Drosophila melanogaster: one gene and its partner. The protein of the gene in region 2 purifies or fractionates together with the protein of the main gene of each other region. This does not show direct contact. Each region holds a gene or a part of one and is shown on either strand. Other genes may lie near its edges. The genes, in order: levy and COX4.

Region 1 (9,752 bases), on a different chromosome or scaffold from region 2:
CATAAATTTTTTATTTTTATGTCATCCCATATTAGTGTGACGTTGTATTTGTGACAAATACTTGATTGTGTAAAATAAAAACAAAAAGTTTCGCTAGCAAAATTCACACAGAAACATCGATATCTGCATAGTGCACATCTCTAAGCGACGCCAAGCGATTGTTTTCCTCTCATTTGTAATCTGTACGCACTTTGCAAGTGAAATTCCGCGTTTCTACCGCCGCCCGGAACGAATTACCGCCAATTGCCGATGGCCGCGAAACTGGAGGTGCGCGAGGCCATGCTGACCGAGAAGAGGGTCTGCCGCTTCTGTCTGACCGAGCAGAAGCTGGCCTCGATTTTCGAGGAGAATCCGCGGGTGAAAACAACCGCCAATCTGCCGCTGCAGATTATGGCCATCACGGCGATCGAGGTAAGCGGCTCCATCCATGGGTTCTGGCTTGCACTAACCAGCGCCACGCATAACTTGGCTAAGAAGCCGCATCGCGGGTTTCCGCATCGACTGCGAGGCGTCTTGGCTAAGTTTCCCCGCTCCAAACTGCCCCGCTTCCCTTTCCCAGCCGAATGTCCTTGAAAAGTGCGACCAGGTTACAGCCCAATTAGTTGGCTAATCATTGGGCTTTCCCTTTTTCCTCTTGTGCAAAGAAAAATGAAAATTTCTGCGATTTGGGGCAACTGTACTGCGCCACACGCACACTAGTGCGTCAACAGCTGATCGCCCTGACAGCTGTCAGTTGTTTTTGGCGCTAAATTCAAATCGAGATCATATTTAAATGCATTAATAGTTCCTTCGATACTTATATTTACGCAAAAATCATCATTTGGTTAATTTTATTAATTTCCTAAATTATAAAATTAGGAAATAAATATAAAATTTAGGAAATTAATAAAATTAGAGTGAGAAAAATCTTAATTAATCACTCTTAATAATGCTAATTTGAATTCCACTAAAGTTTCGTACAATTTCACTGATTCAGCCAACCAAGTCTTCATTGTTATCTTTTATTTCCCATATCAACGTACTCAATCTGGCCCAGACAGCTCCTGTCTTCAAACAAAGTTGCTTAGATCGAAATTACCCATCTACGTTCAATTGGGGAGATACCTTGCTATGTTTTTAATTCATTTTTATTCATATCAAATATAAATGTTTGCGTGTACATAAAAGTATGTATGTATGTATAAATCTTCATTGTATTATCTTATCTCAAATTTGTGGGTTTTCTATTGGCAAGGTCTCGCTTATGCATACGGAAGTCATCTAGTGGGTAAATGGGTAACGAATTTCGTCAATGATAAGGCCGAAATGGGCATGGGAAAGGCAGGGGAATGAATGAAAGGGAGTCGGGTGCTTCAATATCCATCGGGATAATCGCACGCGTCAGCTAAAACTAAACTTGAAGTGAATTGGAATCCAACGTGAATGATTGCGGGCGATGGTTGTACAACCTCTGTTGAAAGTTCTTCTTCGAAGGGAGATCTCTTCCTAGCCAGCCTTATTGCCGTTCGGCTTGTCGCCGAAGCGCAGTATGCGCGTCAGCATGGAGGTGAGGCACGGTATTTGCTTCTGGCGATCCATCATCGGTGTGGCGGGCACGTTCGACTCAAAGTCTAGGGCTACGCGCTGGTTAACGAATGTAAGCAGGGTGAGCAGGTCGTACTTTTTGCCATTGGCGTTCAGCTCGCGGATCAGCGATTGCATGTACCAGGAGCCATTGTTGATGTTGCGCCAGGAGAAGTAGCCTAACAGGACGAGATTGCTAGTGAAATTCACTAAAATAGTTACCTAATCATATTCCTTACCCGGAATGGTCGAGTAGGAGAAGAGAAAGTCGGCGTGTATGGGTATCTTGTAGCTCGTCGAGGACTCCCCGTCCGTCTCGGTAACGCCCTTCTCCAGAGTGATGCCTCCGTCCAAGCGATCGCCCTGGCAGGCTTGGATGAAGAACAGCTTCGGCTTGCCCGCCAGCGAGGGGCAGAAGGTGGCAGTGAAGTAGTGCCAGATGTTGTCCAGCTTGTACTGCGTATCCTTGGCGTACAGGTAGCCGTGCTCCCCGTGCGAGAGTATGGCCACCGCAAGGCAGTCGTTGTCCGTGTGGTCCAACTCGGCGGCCTTCCCCACGTGCTTCAGGATGTCCCTCAACTTGCAGTCCTTGTGCACGGACACCGCGAATCCCAGGTTTTCAAAGGCCTTTTTCAGCTCTTGGGCATCGACATTTGTTCCGGTGCGGCTCTTCAGCGAGGGTATGTCGAAGAATTCGTGGTTGAAGATCAGCGCAACTCCGCGGTGCTTGTGACTCATGTTGTATTCGCTTGCATATCGTTCCACGGGCATTCGAGCCACAAACTTGTTGGCCGGCAAGGGGCTGGGGAAAAAGAAATCAGAATTATAATAGCCATTTGGGAAGCAGCATGATAAGATAAGGTAATCGGCGAAATAATCGATGATTGGGTATTTATTTATGTAATTATTTTCAAATATATTTGTGAATAAGACTAAATAGAACAATAGAATTAAAGTCAAGTGCTTTCAAACTTTGTGACTTCAGCCATTTTAACAACATTATAAAGACAGATTGACACATTGATTTTAAATGTTGGCAATAGACAGTATAAATAATATAAAAATAATAGATTGTGGAATGAAAATGGAATAAATAAAAAAAAAAGAGCTTTATATGCTGCATTTGAAACTAGGATATAGCAGTTATGCCAGTACTTGCATTGATAACAAAACACAGAAACATAAAGAGAGAGATGGGAGAGGGAGAGAGCGAGGCACATGGACTCACCTCGCTGCAGTTGCACCACCAACAACAAGAGACTCCGGCGTACAGCCCTTGGCATCGGTATTATCAGCCATTATAAAGCTGCCCCGATTTTCCGATCCATTTGGGCTGCGAATGCCTACTCCGTAGTTTCTGGTTACGCACTCGTCGGTCATCTTGCGCCCCTTTTCTTGCTTAAGTTCTTGTTTTGATTGTTTGCGTTTCTCCTTGTGTTTCCTCTTGCCTTTTGTTCGCTCCCTCCTGCTCCTCCCTCGCTCACGCGCTGCTCTTTCCTTCCTTTTCTCTCTCCGCAGTTGTTGCGCCCTTTTTGGTCTGATTCTTGTTTTATTCTGACACTGCTTCTGTTTTCTATTGCTCTGCGTTGGCCAAACTTTGCGCAGCGCAGCTGTTTTGCGCTTCTCAGCCAGCTTTTGTCGGCTTTCGATCGAGCGAATGTCCTTTTATGGCTCACAGTCGGACGTGTTTAATCAATCAATTAACGGAGGTTAAGCGTGCTCTGAGCGGCGAAAACAAACTGCGATTGCATGTAGTCGTGTGTATGCACTTGCCGCCAAGCGGCGATGGCCGCTCGTCGATAGCACTAATCATCGATTGGTGGCCATCGATTAATTTGTAGAGGGTGTTCTGGTCCTCGGCGCCTTTGTTTAAATTTAAACTCTAACATTATATTGTTCATTTTAAGGGAAAGAGACATTTATGGCGTTTAATTTATTATGTAGCGAAAAACATATAGGGGTGTTCCACGAATATTACCTTATTATTTGGCTTAAGCACGGACTTCCCCGAATAAATGTAGCTTCCTAGTCACTCACACATTTATCTAATCTAACATTAAAAACAGGTCTACGCCGGCGACGGAATGCCGGGGCACATCTGTCTGGAGTGCCGCCTCCTCTTCGAGCACTGCTACCGCTTCAAGCAGATGTGCAAGCGGGCGGAGACCCTCCTGCGCCAGTATCCGCTCACGGGTAACTGGCCATCGCCGCTGGAGAAGCCCCGTGCGCCCATGACGATGGTGGCTTCCAAGAAGTTGTTGGTCGTGCCAGCAAAGACAGCCGAGCCAAGCGAAACGCCCAAAAAGCTGCTGAACACAATGGCCAAATCCAGTAGTCAGGTGATCATCGAGGACGTCCAGGTGCTGGAGAGCGCCATGGTGACCCCCAGGACGGTAGCCGGTTCCTCTCCAGTGCCACGTCGTTCGCACGCCTATGAGCTGAAGGTGGATAACAACCAGGAGCTGTCCATGGACGATGTGCAGAGCATGCTGGAGGATATGGCCAGTGAGCTAGAGAAGGAGTTCCCCGATATCCCCCAGAAGGCATCACCCGTCAAGCCGAAGGTGCTGAACAAGTCCTCGATTAGGATCTTGAACAAGGGACCCGCCGCTCCGGTGGAACCGCGCCTGGCCACACCCAAAGTCAAGCGAGATGATAGTGGCAATGTGGCCATAGTGACAGAGGTTCTGGACTCGGATCTGCCATTGGACGATCAAGATGATCCGACCAAGAACGCCGAGAAGGTGGCCACCGATGTGTTCCCCTGTCCCGATTGCGAACGCTCCTTTCCGCTGCAGCAGCTGCTCGAGATCCATCGGCTGAATCACACTCGCTCGCGCAGCTTCCAGTGTCTCCTGTGCGAGAAGAGCTTCTTCTCCAAGTACGACCTGGCCAAGCACAACTTTGTGCACACCGGCGAGCGGCCATTCAAGTGCGCCATCTGCTCGAAAGCCTTCACACGGAAGGCATTGCTCCATCGCCACGAGCGCACCCACACGGACGTACCCAAGTTCATCTGCGTGTACTGCGAGAAGCCCTTCCTTTCGCGCCAGGAGATGGAGAAGCACGCCGAGCGACATCAGAAGAAGCGTCCGTTCCAATGCGGTGTCTGCACCAAGTCGTTTGCCTTCAAGCAGGGATTGGAGCGTCATGAGGTGGGTTGACAAGCATATTTGGGATTGCCCCGGCTAACGATTATGTCCACTTTCAGACAGTCCACTCCACCAATCTTCCCTTCCCCTGTCAGCATTGCGAGAGAAGCTTTTCCACCGCTTCCAAGCTGGCCCGCCACCTGGTTGCCCACGCCGGGAAGAGAGCCTATCCCTGCAAGTACTGCCACAAGTCCTACATGCTGTCGCATCATCTCTCGCGCCACCTGCGCACGCACACGCAGACTTCCGACGCCTCGTTCGTGTGCAGTGAGTGCAAGGTGTCGTACAGCAACTATAACGACCTACTGGATCATGCGCTCATTCATGCCACCGCCAGCCTGAAATGTCCCATGTGTCGCAAGCAGATCGAAGATATCGACAGTGTCGAGAGCCACATGGACCAGCACAAGCAGAGCGAGCGCCATGCCTGCGAGTTCTGTGACCACATCTTCTTGACGCAGAAATGCCTGCAGCGCCACATCGAGGACGATCATGTGGTGGAAATGGAGCCGTACCAGAACGAGTTCGAAGACGACGGCGAAGGAGAAGGCGGCGTCGATGAGAAGGAGGAACATCTTGACGATTTTGAAGACATGGACAATGTGAAGCAGGAAGAATTCGTGACGGAATACTTAGAAGACGATGCTCTCTATGAGGACCACCTAGACGATAGCGACGAATCCTTCACGCCGCCGCCTCCAAAGCAGCGTAAAACCAATCCTCCCAAGGATGCCCAGCAATCCGTGCGCCAAACTCGCAGTCGGGATGCTCAAAGAATCACTCAGAAGACAGGAAAGAACGAAGGCAAGCCTCATCACAAACTGGAACGCAACCTTAAGAATCGCCGATCCGCAAAATAATGATAGTAGTTGAATATATTGCATGCGAAAAGTGCATCCGTGCTTATGCTTAAATTTAAATTCTATTTAATTGTAACTTTTAATTTTTCCTTTAACCGAAGGCCTTTTAAATAAACTCCTCACCAGAATTCCGCTGTCGCTCATTGAAATGGTCTTTATGGGATCTCTCCTCGCTCTAATTTGATCTTTATTGAAGCGCCAACTGGAGTTTGGGTATATGTGTTTTCTGTGTATTTCCGCGTAAAGTTCAGTTTACATTAACGTCTATCACTACCAAACAACGAATACATCCCGCAGAGGGAACCGGAGACGGTGGCCACCTAGTGCTCGTAGCCGTCGGGCAGGGCGTTAACGTGGGGGTTGTGGAACAGGCTCTTCTGGCCCTCACCCCAGGGGAAGCGCTTCTCGCGGCGGCGCAGGTAGTCGTACTTGACGAACTCCTGGCGGGGCTTGTCGTGCTCCTCCTGGTGCTTCAGGTAGGCGTTCAGCATGCACAGTCCCACGGCGGGCACGGCCACGAAGAAGGACAGGCGCTTCCACACCTTGTAGCCACCTGAAGGATGAGAGATGAGATGAGCATGAAAGGATGTGTTATAAGAGCGAATCCTTCTCCACCAATCGATCTTGCCCAATGGTAAATTACATAACCTTAACCTTACAAAAGGGGATGAATTTGGCAATTGGGACGCTGGACGGTCACTTACCAGAGTGCTCGCCGGCCACGGCGGCGGTGCCGGACATATTCCGGGCGGCAGAAGCGCCGAATTGGCGGCGAATTGCGTGGTTTAGAATAGCGGACATATTTTCAGTCGATTCTTGGCCCGAATGAAAATTTGCTGTTTTGACAAGTAAATAGGGATGGGCTACATCCATAATGTCGTGACTCGTTCGCTAAATTATATCGATAGTGGTTGGCCGTGATTTCTAAATTACGTACAACAAAGCTGTTAATTGGCTTAATATAAATAAAAAACAAAATAAAACAATTCTATGCCAAATTGTAAATAAGTAATTTGACATTTTTCCTTTGTATCCTCCCCTGGCTGCCGTGACACAGCTCTAGCTAATCGAGAAGTTATCGCCTCACGCGCCCACCGCTGACGATAGGTAGGTACTGTGTGTGCGGACTATCGAGGCTGGAGTCGGCTACCAATCGTCCATCCACAACAACAACGTGTCGCGTAATTATTTTCCCCTCTTGTTTATAAAATTCAGTGCATCAGATTGTAAATACACTGCACACCCTGCAAAGCCACCGCAGCATCTCGAACCTAAGCAACGAACGGGAAAATCATTATCGTACGGGCAGTGAAGCGCAGTTAACCAGGAGCAACAACCAATCCAAGTACAAAGTAGCCACAAAACGTCAGTTATTCACTAAGTGCACAGTTCGCCAGCGGACATAACGGTCGCTACACTCGGAGAAAACCACAAGTATTAAGGACCACACAGTCCACCAATCCACTAGCAGCCCACTGCCATGGCCGCCAACAACTTGCGACAAATCCCGCTGACCTGCAGTGGCCACACGCGACCCGTGGTCCACCTGGACTTCAGCGACATCTGCGACGCCGGCTACTTTCTCATCTCGGCCTGCAAAGGTAAGGTCCGCGGGATCGGGCAGCCAGTCGCATGCGATTAGCCGTCCTTGCGCGCTATTTATACACCACTTTCCGTCGTCGCACAGTGGTTGTCATAATCATACGATGGGGTTAAAATCGGAAGTGTCAGTCACTGACGAACTGGGACACAACGCAGATTCCGTAAGAATTGGATTTAACTAGTGTTTCTATATAGACAGTGTTCATTTGCAATAGTTTAATGTCTATACAGCAAGTTTCCTGGTAAAAACAGGCAGTTACTTTTGCTTATTGGTCAAATTTGTAGTATAGTTTTGTAGGAAGGGCAAATAATGTTTTACCCAGAAGGCCATGTCGAAAAACAAGTTATGTTGTCCGTGTTCTTTGACGGATCGTTATGTTCGTGGGAAAGGTGCTGCAACAGAGCGGCATGGAATCACATGAACTACAGGCGGGCCAGCACGGTGTAGCATCATGTCTAGCCTGTGGGAAACCTTGACCCAAATGCAAAGTCACTCATCGCGAGCGAAACCTGTTTTCTGCGAGTGCGAAACCCTTTTGCCTGCCGCCACTCGCATGCTACAAAACTCGCATTCTTTGCCTTGAGGTGTCAGCCAGTCGATGCGATTGCAATTGCCATGGCAGTTGCAATTCGCAATTCGTTAGCTATTGCCTGTTTTTTACAGGCACTTTGCATTCGTGGCTTTCGCAAATGTTGCTTTTATGCGGAAAGAGCGCTCGTTCCCACTGCAAGTTCAAGTTGACTTCGTTATCGCCTTTTAACGTACTCGCTTCCCCTTGTTTAGCAACTTTTCGAAACTGCTCGTTCAGGAAGCACCTTGGAACTTCTATATTTATATGCTGTGTGTATATGCAGCTGCCGTTTGTCTGCCGCCTGGAAGATTCTGCTTGCTGGATACACTCTCCCGATCCCGATCCGCTGCAATTTATTCGGATACAGCATCTAATGTGGGCTTAATTCGTGCGGTTCTCACTGCGATGAATCATTCCAAGTTTAAGGCCACAGTAATTGTATAAATTAGAATGGGAAATTACATAGTATATATTACATTATTAAGTGCTCTTGTTAGAAAACCTTTCTCTGCAAAGTTAAACTAATAGAGTTCCTATACAAAAGTGAAGTAGCAGGCAAACATTAGTAGAAGTCCTTGAAATGGCGAGAGTTGTGGGTGATCATTTATCACACACATAGAATGCATTGATGATGTAGCTCTGAACGAACTAACAAGCCGCGTCCCTGCACTGCACTGCACTGCAATGCAGCACCCTGCATCCCGATCCCGTTGAGCGCGACAGTGCAGTGCGGTGCGGTGCGGTGATAGTGACGTGAACTTGGGAGCTCGCTTGCATGATTGCGAGCGGCAGGCGGCCAGGTCGTTGGCCTTGGCGGCAGGCATTGAGTCAAGGTGGCTTCCGTGCGCTAATTTATGCACGCACGCTCGGCGGCGGGCGAAAGCGAATGCAACTGACCGAGAATCGTGTATTGTGAATCTTGCAGATGGCAGCCCGATGCTGCGGCACGGCGACACCGGCGACTGGGTGGGCACCTTCGAGGGACACAAGGGCGCCGTGTGGAACGCCACGCTGAACCGAAATGCCACCCTGGCCGCCTCCGGAGCGGCCGACTTCACCGGCAAGGTGTGGAATGCGGTGACCGGGGCCGAGATACACAGCTTCCAGCACAAGCACATCGTGAAGAGCGTGGCCTTCGACAGGGATTCCGAGAACATAGTGACTGGCAGCAACGAGAAGCTGGTGCGGGTCTTCAACCTGGAGCAGCCCGAGGCGCAGCCGGAGGAGTACGCCGGACATACGGGGGCCATCAAGCGGGCGCTCTTCTGCCGCGGCGACAAGTGCATCATCTCGGCGGCCGAGGACAAGACGGTGCGCCTCTGGGACCGCATGACGGGCATCGAGGTGCAGCGCCTGCAGTTCAACAGCAATCCGAACAGCCTAGAGATCTCCAGCGACAACCACATACTGACCATATCGCACGGCTCCTCGATTAGCTTCTGGGAGATCGACACGCTGAAGAAGCTGAAGGAGGTGAAAGTGCCGACGAACGTGGCGTCGGCCAGTTTGCATCCGGATAAGCATGTGTTTGTTTGTGGCGGCGAGGACTTTAAGATGTACAAATTCGACTACATCACAGGAAACGAAATTGGTATGTACCTTCTCACATGCGTCGTCTTTAATTCCAAGGCACTGTGTTCTGTTCCCCCACAGAATCTTTCAAGGGACATTTCGGGCCCGTGCACAGCGTGAAGTTCAGCCCGGATGGCGAACTCTATGCCAGCGGCTCCGAGGACGGCACTCTCCGGCTGTGGCAGACCACCGTGGGCAAGACCTACGGCTTGTGGAAGTGCACGGAGCCCGCGGACCTGGGCAATTCCATCAGCTCGCCGCGCGAGGTGCAGGCAAACTGATGTTGGCGCAGCAGGAGTCGCTGTTACACAGCCCACGCTGCACCGGCGACGCAACGAAAGGGCATGTGATTCGGAGCTACGGCTGAGATCCGATTATCAGAACAAGAACAACTCGTAGTGCGGGCTACAATAACGATTCTTCATATTCCA
Region 2 (10,454 bases):
TGGTCGATGGAGGAGTAAGCTTAGGTCCCGCGGCAGAGAATATCACTCCTGGATGGGGGTAGGGATACTGAATGGGGTAGGGATAGGGGTGAGGATGCGGATAAGAATGGGGATGAAAGTGGGGCTCATGCTTATGGGGCTTTGGCGTTGTGGTGGTGGTCGTCGTAGGGGTCGTGGTTTCCGGTTCCGGAGTGGTGGACTCTGGAAGCGCAGATCCATCATTGTTTTGTTGCAAGCCATCATCCAGTTGACCCAGTCCGTCATCGGGAGCAGCGGTGGCCTCACCCTCCTGCTCTATTGCGGGCTTCGTGGTGGTTTCTGGCTTTGGAGTTGTGGTTTCCGGCTCGGGAGTGGTGGTGGTCACCTTCTTGTGGGGATGATGAGGCTGATATTGGGGGGGCAGGTGGGGCTCCGGCAGATGCGTATCATCGGTAGTCTCCTCTTCGCTGTAAAGCGAGGCATCGATTTGCTTTTTAGCCTCGTCGAGCGACAACTGAGCGTAACTCAGCGCCAGCAGCTAGAATTAAAATGTATGTTAAGTTAATCATAGTTCGAGCCATTTTGTCCTGGCCAAGATCTGGCACCAACCTGGCTAATTAGAAGCAACTTGATGAACATCCCAACCGACTGAGTTCAACTAGCAAGGGCCAAGCGAAAACTGATTGTTCTCTGCCGGCCATAGCTGACTTATATAGCTCCAGAATCGCCCACCATTATGGAAATCGGTAAGCCAACAATTACAGACAGCCCCAGAGCAATCAGCTCTCTATCTCTCTCGAAAAACCCGATTGGCATCAGGTGTTGGATGCGTCTGCCGGAATTTCCCGGACTGCGTTCGCAAATTAAAGATCGCCATCTATCAGTTGGTCACTAAGAGAATTAGTTCTGCCCGCAGAACCAGGCAGCGATTCCCGCAATCAATTTAGAACTGCTCCAATCGATTCCACCTGCGCAGCGACTATAAAAGGTGGCTTTGCCCAGTCGGCGCTTCTGGTTTCGACGCAGTATAGGTACACATACTATGTGTCAGGTGTGACGATAGGCATGGCGAAACTTGAACTGAAGCTGGTGAGTGCCAATGGGGCATTCCCTCATTATTGCACATAATCGAACGTTTCTTTGTTCTAGATTGGAATCGCTATATTCTTGGTAGCCGCGCTCGAGGCTCAGGAAACCCCTGCGGCTGAATCATCTCCAGCGTCCCCAACAGATGGCGAAACGTCTCCAGTTACAGAAGCCAGTTCCATCGGAGAATTAACTCAGACCACAGAAGCGGGGTCGGAGGTCACAGAATCACCAACAAATAGCACCGATATGGTTAATAGCACGGACAACCCAGACCCGAACGGCTCGCCTGACCCTGAAAATGGAGGAGATCCATTTGTGAAGCCAGGAAGCCATATAAAGGGACCTCGACACGTTAGAGCACATGATGGCTTCCACAGCCTGAAGACGGAGAAGCATTGGGCAAGCTGGAACGATGCCTTTACCACGCCACGTCCCTAGCTCATATGTATATCCCATTATACCCTTTCGTTTTGTGACCAATCTCTGAAGATTATTGAATAAAAAACTAAATAATTTTAATATATTCCGTCGAAATTCGGGAACACCCTATGTGGTTTTACCAAGAACTTCACAGATGACGAATTGAATTAGTCGCCAGTCTATTGTTTCCCAATGCGGTTGATTTTTTTCTGCTTGGTAAGTAGAGATAAAGAAATAGTAACATTTTTATCGTATATATTATATTTTCACATCAGTGCCTCTTTTTGTCCCTGGAGCTAGTAGTGCCCAGACATGTCGTGGGCCACGATGGATACCACAACATCGAGAAGGAAAAGCGCTGGAAAAACTGGCCAGCACGTGTGAGGCACCACCATAAACAACGTAACTCCATCTGATGTCCGACAAGGTTGGGATTGCACGCGATTACTTATGGCCCGTTGCAAAGTCGTTCACAGGGCCATAATGCCTCGGATCTCGCCAGACAATGGGAAGCGGAAGCCTTGTTCATCATATCAATGGATCACTGCTTAATTGAACATTTCCACTGTTCGAATGTGTAAATAATAAATTGAATCGCATTAATTGTTGCTATCCAAGCGATATACATTTCAAATGAGGAGAAATGGATTTTATAAATATAAATTGACCCTTTCTTTAGAATGAGTAACCCCCTTTTAAAAATATGTTGTTTTTTTTTCTATTTTGAGATAAGTGACTAATGGGAAATCGATTGGTTCCATAATACATCTCAGCCCACTTAATTGTGATTTAACGTATAAGTAATTTGTCACTCCACAAACTACAGCCATGGGACCAAGGCTCTATCCCGCTGCGATCCTCATCCTCCATTGCCTGCTGTTGCTCTTCCTCCAGGTGGACAGCAGAGGTAACCAGAACCACACCCAGATGGAAAGACAGCGTCATCTCCGAGCACACAATCTGCACAGGCCTCCATACGATGGATACGATTGGCACAAACAGTAAGATACAGATTCGATCGAGCTGAAGGATATATACACTTTCGAATGGCACCAACCTTTCGCTTTCAATAGCTTTAACCGAGATGCCGAACCAAAGGCGACAGTTGCAAAGGAGAAAGAAGAGAAGACTTTCAAACACAGATCAGGACATTTAAAAAAGATGAAGCAGACAGCTAGGGATATTTCGAACTGGAGGTAGGTGCATCATCTGCATCAAGTATGAATGCTCTGAGATCAAGGAATGCCTGACTTCTTTTCAGCAGAGCTCGGAGCGCCTACCAAAAAGAGACGGCAGAGCTGGAGGAATGGGGTCGAAAGAAGAATATAACTGACAACGAACTGAAGTTATTCTTTGACGGTGAAATTTCTACCAAAGACAAGTACAGATTATTTGGGGACATTCAAACGGTTGTCCAGATCCTGAAAGAGGTGATAAAAAAGGGAGCTGTGTAAGTAGTGTTCGCCTATATGTCTGGCAATGCCTTTGAAATCCGCCTTTTTAGGACCGAAAAAGAGAAAGCAATGATAACGCCGGAACTGAAACCATTGATCTTAAGATTCGGCCGCATGTTTGAAAGGGAATTTGCCAAGAACACAAATGCCTTGGAAGCCTTGCAGATCCTTGTTCATGAGGTTCAAAAATCGAACAGCCGGAACATGAGACATAAGAGTGCTAAAAGGTCTCACTAAGTGGTAATTAAATTGGCTATGCCTGTGGCGATTTTAGTAACGAAAAGTTTGTAATCTACACACTAAAAGGTCTGTTAATAAATCGAATAACAATCATTGCTCTTAAAACGGATCATTGAGGCTGGTTTCCTAGCAGAAACTGATGACTGACCCAAGATCGATTGATTTAGGCAGCAGCCATAACTTTAATTTCGACTATCTTGCTTTTACTTAATACACATAGACGTCGGCTAACTTAATCACACACAATCGCGGAATTATTTAACGACAGCGCACTTAGTTCTTCCACTTCTTGTTCTCGTAGTCCCACTTGGAGGTCAATCCGGTGACGGGGTTGATTTCCAGGTCGATGATGCGCTGCAGCTGCGCCTTCTGGTGCTCCTCATCGAAGGTAACGGGCAGCTCATCGTACACTGAAAGGAAAATGCTCAATAATGGATAGCCGCAAAAGGGAACCGGAAAAATGGCTTACCGAAGATGTTCATCAGTACGGCCACCCAGATGGCGGCGGCGCAGAAGAGGAGTGAAACGCCCAGGTGGAGCTTCCACTCCCCGGATCCAGCCTGGACCTCGGCGATAGTCTGGCAGAAGCTGGCGCGGTACAGGGCCTTGATCTCCTGGGTGCTGAGCTTCTTCCAGTCTCCCTGCTCCTTGGCGCGCAGAGCGTTGATCTCGTTGGTGGGCTCACGGAAGCGCACGGCGGGCAGAGGGTAGTCCACGCGATCCGCGTAGCAGGCGGTGCCGTTCCAGCCGTAGCCAACGATCTCCCGCTTGCCGATCTTGTCCAGTGTGTGGACGGCGGCCACGCTGCCCACCTGGGCACTCTTGGGCAGCTGAGAGGCCAGCTGGCGGAGCACAGCACTGTTGAGTAGTCGCAGGGCCATTTTCTCACAGAGTCTGCAAGGTAGTAAAATGAATATCAATTTATGAGGTATCAGCAGAGGAACATAGGGTCTTGGACCCGCGATAGCCAAATTTCCCACCCGACCAGGCGGTCATCCGTGAATTCTAACGGGTTACGAATTCACCGATATATGGTGCCCACTTAGTTGGAGGTTATGTAACAGCTAGCAGAACTACGTGCCAAGTTATAGAATCTATTTCCATAAAAATCGCATTGTTTTGAGGTTCCTCTACGCCTGTCGCCATATATTTATCCCGATTTCGTGCTGTGTTTGGCATAATATCCGCATAATTCTCCCATTTTTCACAGCCATCACAGATGTTGTGTAATCGGTGGGCGGTTGCATCTACCGGAAAACGGCTTATAAACCGGTGGCAACTGGTTTTCCAATTTATGTCGGCTTGCTTATCCCGCTCGTTGTATTCAATAGCTTTGTGGTCGCAGGTACTTGATATTTTTCGCAATTAATACAATTTTTAAAGCACTTTTACCTACTTTTCTTAGACTTGCTGAACAATGTGACCAGAGGGAATATACAAAACAAAATATATATATGGATGGGTAATTATTGCTCGATATTTTGGTATTTTCATGCAGAGAAGTGTGACCACATCTCGAATGAAAAAATATAAATATTAATATATCGATATATTCAATCGCTAGCAATCGGAATTCGGCGGGGTATTTAAATCTAAATATATTAAAATAAAGAAACAGCAAATAAGGGCAACTATTATGTTTTATTTTATTTCGCAGCATGGTGAAATATTTGGTTTGGTATTTCACATTCTTTTTGTAGTCTGTCCGCGAGAAGAGAAACAACAACAAAACAATTATTGTTCGATATTATATTTTATTTTGATTTGATGTCATATCTCATAAATGCACACATTTAAATTAGACAGAGACACATAATTTGCTTTATCGTATCATATAGTTTGCTGCTTGAGTTTGTATTACATAAGATTATCTTTCGATAGGGATCTGGAGTTCGGAAATTTAGCTATTTTATCGAGGATGGGGCATTACGTATTCACTTTCGCGTATTCCTGTGTTTAAGCGCCGCTTGGCATAATAAATATGTTAATGGTATTTTGCTTTATTGGGCTTTATAAATATGCAATATGTTTGTAACAATATTTAATGATAATTACGCAAATAATTAAACTAAAGTGAAAGCTTTTTCCTTCAACTATACATCTTGTAAATTGGTAGTAGCAAAAACTTATAGCTACATTTACAGTAGAGTTAGGTATTAGTTGCGATTTAATTCATATGATCCGCCGACTCTGGGCTGGGATAAAGGGTATAAAAAGTCTAGACCGTCGGTCAGATTCACACTTAAGCATAGGGGGGACTTGGGGTTAGTTTTCATCTATATGTACAAAAATGAATTCACTCGTCTTATCTCTGTAACATTTCATGTTAGTGAAGTTTCCTTTTCTCAAGATTTGGGTTTTTCGGAAACGCAGCCGGGGTCCTTGCTTTTTGGGATGGTAGTGCTTCGTTATCAGGTTCAGTTTGTGGCTAGGACAATTTGCATTTTTAACAAGTGCGCTAAAAAGTGCAATTTACTCTAGATGGCAGGGAGTGGCTAGAAACGATGATTGGAAAGGTTGGTGACGTGGTGCAAATGGAAAACTCTTGGAACTGCTTTTGAACCTCGCTGCGAAAGTAGTGCAAGAAGTCTCATTTGTGCGGGGGCAAGGATATCTTGGGTGCATATCTTGGACCCTCAGCTGGCGTACTCCTCTCAGTTAGTTCATCTAAATTTGGCATGTACGAAGTGGTTGGTTTCTATAGCTGTTCACTCGGCTCCAGCGGAACTTTCGGGCGTAACATTCGAGTCCAGGCTGGCACAATCGGACTCCTGATCCTGGGCCTCCGAGTAGTTGGCCGCCTCCTGCAGGCGCATCAGCATGTTGAGCTGTTGACGAAACGCCTCATTAGTTGAAAATCAAAGGAGCAATATTAGTCCTGTATCTTACCAAGGGATCCTGTTGGTCACCGTTGGTTAGGGCCACGCCTTCGAGTCCCACATCCTCGGCATTGATTTGCCGTAGTGGAGGCACTGAGTCCGGACCGTATGGCCACGGATAGGAGTTCCTAATGAAGGCGGAGGGGTCGTTCCAGGCACCTCCTCGTCGTCCATAGAGCTGAACTCCCTCGCGCACCGCCTCCACCAAGTATGGCGAGAGGTGGTAGTTCCAGATGTCGGTGAACCACACCTGCGAGTCCTTCAGGTCCATTGGGCAGGCGAGGAATAGCCTCGGCCCAATGGTTACATCACTGGAGCTGTGCACCTCCAGGAATCGGTTGATGTGCTGCCAAACGGAGGGCAACCAGGCCAGCACTGCCGCCAGCTCCGGCTGCGGATGTTGCGTCTGCAGTTCCAGCTGGAAGAGTCGACGCCTCAGGAAGCGACCCAGAAAGCCTTTCACGGGCTCCATGTGATTAGCTGTGAGCACCTGTGAGCAAGTGATAAAGCAAATATGTAATGATCCAATTTGTAAGGTCCATCATCAAAACATACCCATCGGAAATTGTGGTGCAGCTGCAGGTTGGTGGTGTTGCAAGTGGCCTGTGACATGGTGCCAATGATGCAGGGCAGCTTGTTGGCGGGCCCAGCGCTCAGGAGACAGGAGAAGACGTCGCCCAAGGCGGAGGCGTGGTGCAGGTTGTCCAAAATAATCACAGAGGGAAGCTCGGAGACTCCATTGGCAATGGCAGCCTGCTCGGCAATGTGGCCCAGATACTGTCGCAGATCCTTCGAGGACTTGTGGTCAACACTAAGGGAAAATGGAAATGGAGGAGAAATAGTTATCAATCTGGAATAGATAGTGTTCTCTTTTAGACTTACTTGAATGTGGCAATGGCCTCCGAAGGATTGCCCCTGGCAGAGCGGGCTACCAGGAACTCGGCTAGTCGACGGGCCAGATAGGACTTTCCAGTGCCGCTGGGTCCGCACAGAATCAGACGTCGGTGCTCCGTGAGCAGGCTGATGTATCGATGGACAATGCTGCGCGGAATAAGGCTGTCGAAAGCCAAACTTCCCACACCCTGGAGGCAAATGTATAGGGTCCTCACGCTGCCCACTATGTAACCACAGGGCAGGAGTTCCGGGAATCCCATCTCGGGACCCCGTTTCGCCTCTCCTAGGTGGTACGAGGTAATGGAGTCCGTGTTGAGACCCAGATTGGTGCCCGGATCAATGCGCGCCACGTAGTCCTTGAAGGTCTTGCGCACCACGTAGTCCAGATTCTGCCACGTCGTCTTGCCGGATATATAGGTGCAGGCTATGACGAACTCGTTGCAGCTGGCGCTGGTATAGTTGGACTTCCTCTCGCTTTGGGATTGGCTATCCGCCTCGTGGCCATTGGCATAGAAGCCATCGAGCTCCTGCAGCTCCTCACAGTACTTGGCAAACGCCTCTGGCTGACCCAGATAACAGGCAATGGCTATCTTCTTGCCATCGCACACATCGGCCAACTCCTCCGTGGCACTGGCCATGTGCACCGGACTGGCCATAGGAGCCGCCTCCAAGGCAGGAGGCGGTGGCGTTAGGTCTACGTGGGTACTGGGACTAAGGGGTGCCACACTGACGCCATTGGGGGCCGGTGGTGGTGGTTGTTCGGGGGCCGGGGCAGGTGGCAAACAGTCCTCCTCCAGTTCAAGTTCTTCACTAAGTCGAGCTGGGAGTTCCATGGGTGGGCGACTGTTGCTGTCGGCGAGGGAGTAGCGCCTCGACACCTCAGAGCTTCCAGCCACTGATCCATTGGGACTGATGGCCTGGCCCAAGCTGGCCTCCGAACCAGCCAAGGATCGCGTGGTCACCAGCTTCTGGAGACGCTCATTGTTGTGCTTCAGGGACATCATCTCCGCCCGCATCTTGTTCATCATCTCCTTGAGGCTCTCCAACTGGGAGGCCGAGCTCAAGGCCTCCAGGCGAATATCGGTCAGGACGAGATCCTTTTCGCGCAGCTGCTTCTTGAGGTCCTCGACCACATGCTGATCCTCCTGGTCAATGGCATCGATGGGCTTGGCATTGTCTATGAGGGTGACGGTCTTGGCGGGACTGCTCTGCTTGCTATTCGGCAGGGGAGGAGCAGGTTGAGTGGCCAACGAGGCCAGTCCCAAGGGTTCACCGTGACCATTGTGCAGGGGAAGTTTCCCAGAGGCCAACTCTTGCTGCGAGTGGTTGTGATGATGATGGTGACCCACATGACGACTCGTCTTGGAGATCTTGGCATTGCGGGAAAAGGCCTTGGTGAAGCTGCTCCGCAGCCAGCCCTTCTTCTTGTTGGCCTTGTTCTTGTCCTGGGCCGCCGAGCAGCCCGAGCTGATGGAGTTCAGCGAGCACATGGAGTCGGTGCTGTGCTGGCGCTGCATTCCCAGTGGCATGGATCCATTGTTGGCATTGATGGCGCGTTGGGAACCCGAGTTCGGTGGCTTCTGATCCGAACCCGGCTGACCCAGCGCCTGACCCAGCGCCTGACCCTGAACCTGACCTTGACCCTGGGTCTGGACGCCCATGCTCTGCATGTGCGCCGTGGTCAGTCCCGCCTGGATGGACTGCTTCCTCAGCAGCTCGATGGTCTGCCGCATGTCCGTCAGCTCGCCGTCCTTTCGCTCCGCCGTCGCCGTCAACTGATGCAGTCGGTTGGTCATGTTGGACAACGACTGCTCGAAGGCGGTGACCACATGGGCCTGCAAGAAAGAAGATGAGAGGAGCGATTAGTTTGAGGTGGGTATGGATATGGGTATGGGTATGGGCTTAGGCCAGGTCTCTACAATCCATCATCGCTCGTTTTGAGCACATCTCGATCGTGCCTCGCATTCTGAGGCCGGGTGTCGCTGCTTGGCATGCATGGCATTGCACCCGCAACTTGCAACTCAACCCGGCCACATGACTCACGCACAATAAGCCGGGCCCAAAGCCGGGCTTTAAGAACTTTTGAAAACTTCTGTTCCTTCATAGAAAGACGTGCACTTAGAGAATGTATCACCGAAGTTGTTCAGTTATTTTCGAGTCTATTTTAAATTTTTAAAAAGGTTGTCTTTTGAACAGATAAAAATTTTTCTTTAGATTACTAAATAATTAAAGAGTAAGTTATTCCAGCTATAGTTTTAGGTTGCTTCTCTAATACTAATTATACGGCCGTGTGAATTCGAGAACCTGTGCTATTCTTGTGCTTTGTTATGTCAGCATTTGCCATCGTTGCTTATTTTTTATGAGCCGACGTGACTGGTCACATACATACATATATCAGGAGAATATATATATATTTCTGCATCAAGTTGATGGGTGTCATTAGGGAAACTCAGAGAAGAAAACTGGTGAGTCAGAGCGGATGTTGTAATTGCCAAGGAAGTTGTGAGGAAGCAGCGCAATCTTTTCGTTTTGCTGGCAGAAATGCTCGTAAAGTAATTTAGCATTTGTAGTAATATTAAATTGGGCGACATGGCGGGTGTTTTAATGCGCCAGACTAATTAAATTATAAATTGGCAAACGTGATCACAACAAGTGTACAGCCCACCCGCGCGCATTACAATCAGCACGATTTGCATTAAAAAACCACGTAGAAACCCTTTCAACTTTCTCCGCTTCGGCATATTTGGGAAAGGGCTCATCGTTTGGCTGCCAACTCACGTATGTGGCAAGCATAAAAATTGATTACGGTGCGTATGAGTAACGTGACACGCAGTACGAGGCGGCAGCCGCAGGAGCACATCCTTTCGTTTCCGCCGACAATTAAAACGATTAAAGAGCCATTTTCCTTTGAGTGGGTGATAAAGTGGAAAGTGCCAGTGATTTCATTCGAGAGCAGCCCCCTGAAAGTCAGCTTCGCCCATAAAACTTTGCCTCACTCCGACCTTGAACTTAAAAACCTTTGGGGGAGTGTTCATCTACTGATGATGAATATCCGTTTAAAAATGCAGCTCTATAGAGCGTGCCATCGCAATTTGCATAAATGAGTGGCTAATTAAATAGCGAAACGTGCTAGATGGATATCAGCGAACAAGTGGGAAATCGGGGTATAGTCTGAAATACAGATTAGCGGCAATTCTAGCAAATATATTTTGCTGTAATACGTATGGCTCTCTGTCTATTTGTTTTTCATTTTTCCAATAGCCAATCATTGCGATGAGGTCATTCCTATGTCCAGCCAACTAACTTGCCGCATGCCAATGCTAATGTTGGTTTTGCGGCATTAGGCGAGCTTATATTTTCCGAAGCTAAGTCAATTGCGATAAGTAAAGTATTTAATTAAGCTTTAAATTATATACTCTGCAGGTTTCGGTAGCAACCGTAAATGGTCAGGTCAATTTACTCGAAATCAGTTTAAGTGTAGAGCGGATCGAGATAAAAG

Evidence for each region.
Region 1: the proteins of COX4 (region 2) and levy fractionate together in Drosophila melanogaster (co-fractionation; one study listed by BioGRID). This does not show direct contact.

The regions. Positions count from the first base shown.
Region 1 is NT_033778.4:23,544,914-23,554,665, reverse strand, and holds levy (levy), read right to left. Parts: upstream 6,428-9,752; 5' UTR 6,377-6,427; coding exon 6,280-6,376; intron 6,129-6,279; coding exon 5,896-6,128; 3' UTR 5,684-5,895; downstream 1-5,683. Other genes in the region: Dcp-1 (death caspase-1), read right to left, coding at 1,486-1,742, 1,803-2,365, 2,792-2,943; pita, read left to right, coding at 250-411, 3,630-4,718, 4,775-5,575; wmd (wing morphogenesis defect), read left to right, coding at 7,056-7,176, 8,675-9,340, 9,403-9,602.
Region 2 is NT_033779.5:19,952,889-19,963,342, reverse strand, and holds COX4 (cytochrome c oxidase subunit 4), read right to left. Parts: upstream 4,631-10,454; 5' UTR 4,575-4,630; intron 4,512-4,574; exon of another isoform or gene 4,077-4,511; 5' UTR 4,064-4,076; coding exon 3,652-4,063; intron 3,593-3,651; coding exon 3,456-3,592; 3' UTR 3,278-3,455; downstream 1-3,277. Other genes in the region: CG16772 (uncharacterized protein), read right to left, coding at 1-517, 589-618; CG13965 (uncharacterized protein), read left to right, coding at 1,045-1,068, 1,129-1,506; CG42866 (uncharacterized protein), read left to right, coding at 1,681-1,704, 1,764-1,904; CG34051 (uncharacterized protein), read left to right, coding at 2,317-2,489, 2,562-2,684, 2,750-2,938, 2,993-3,179; sick (sickie), read right to left, coding at 5,891-6,010, 6,072-6,551, 6,617-6,872, 6,944-8,790.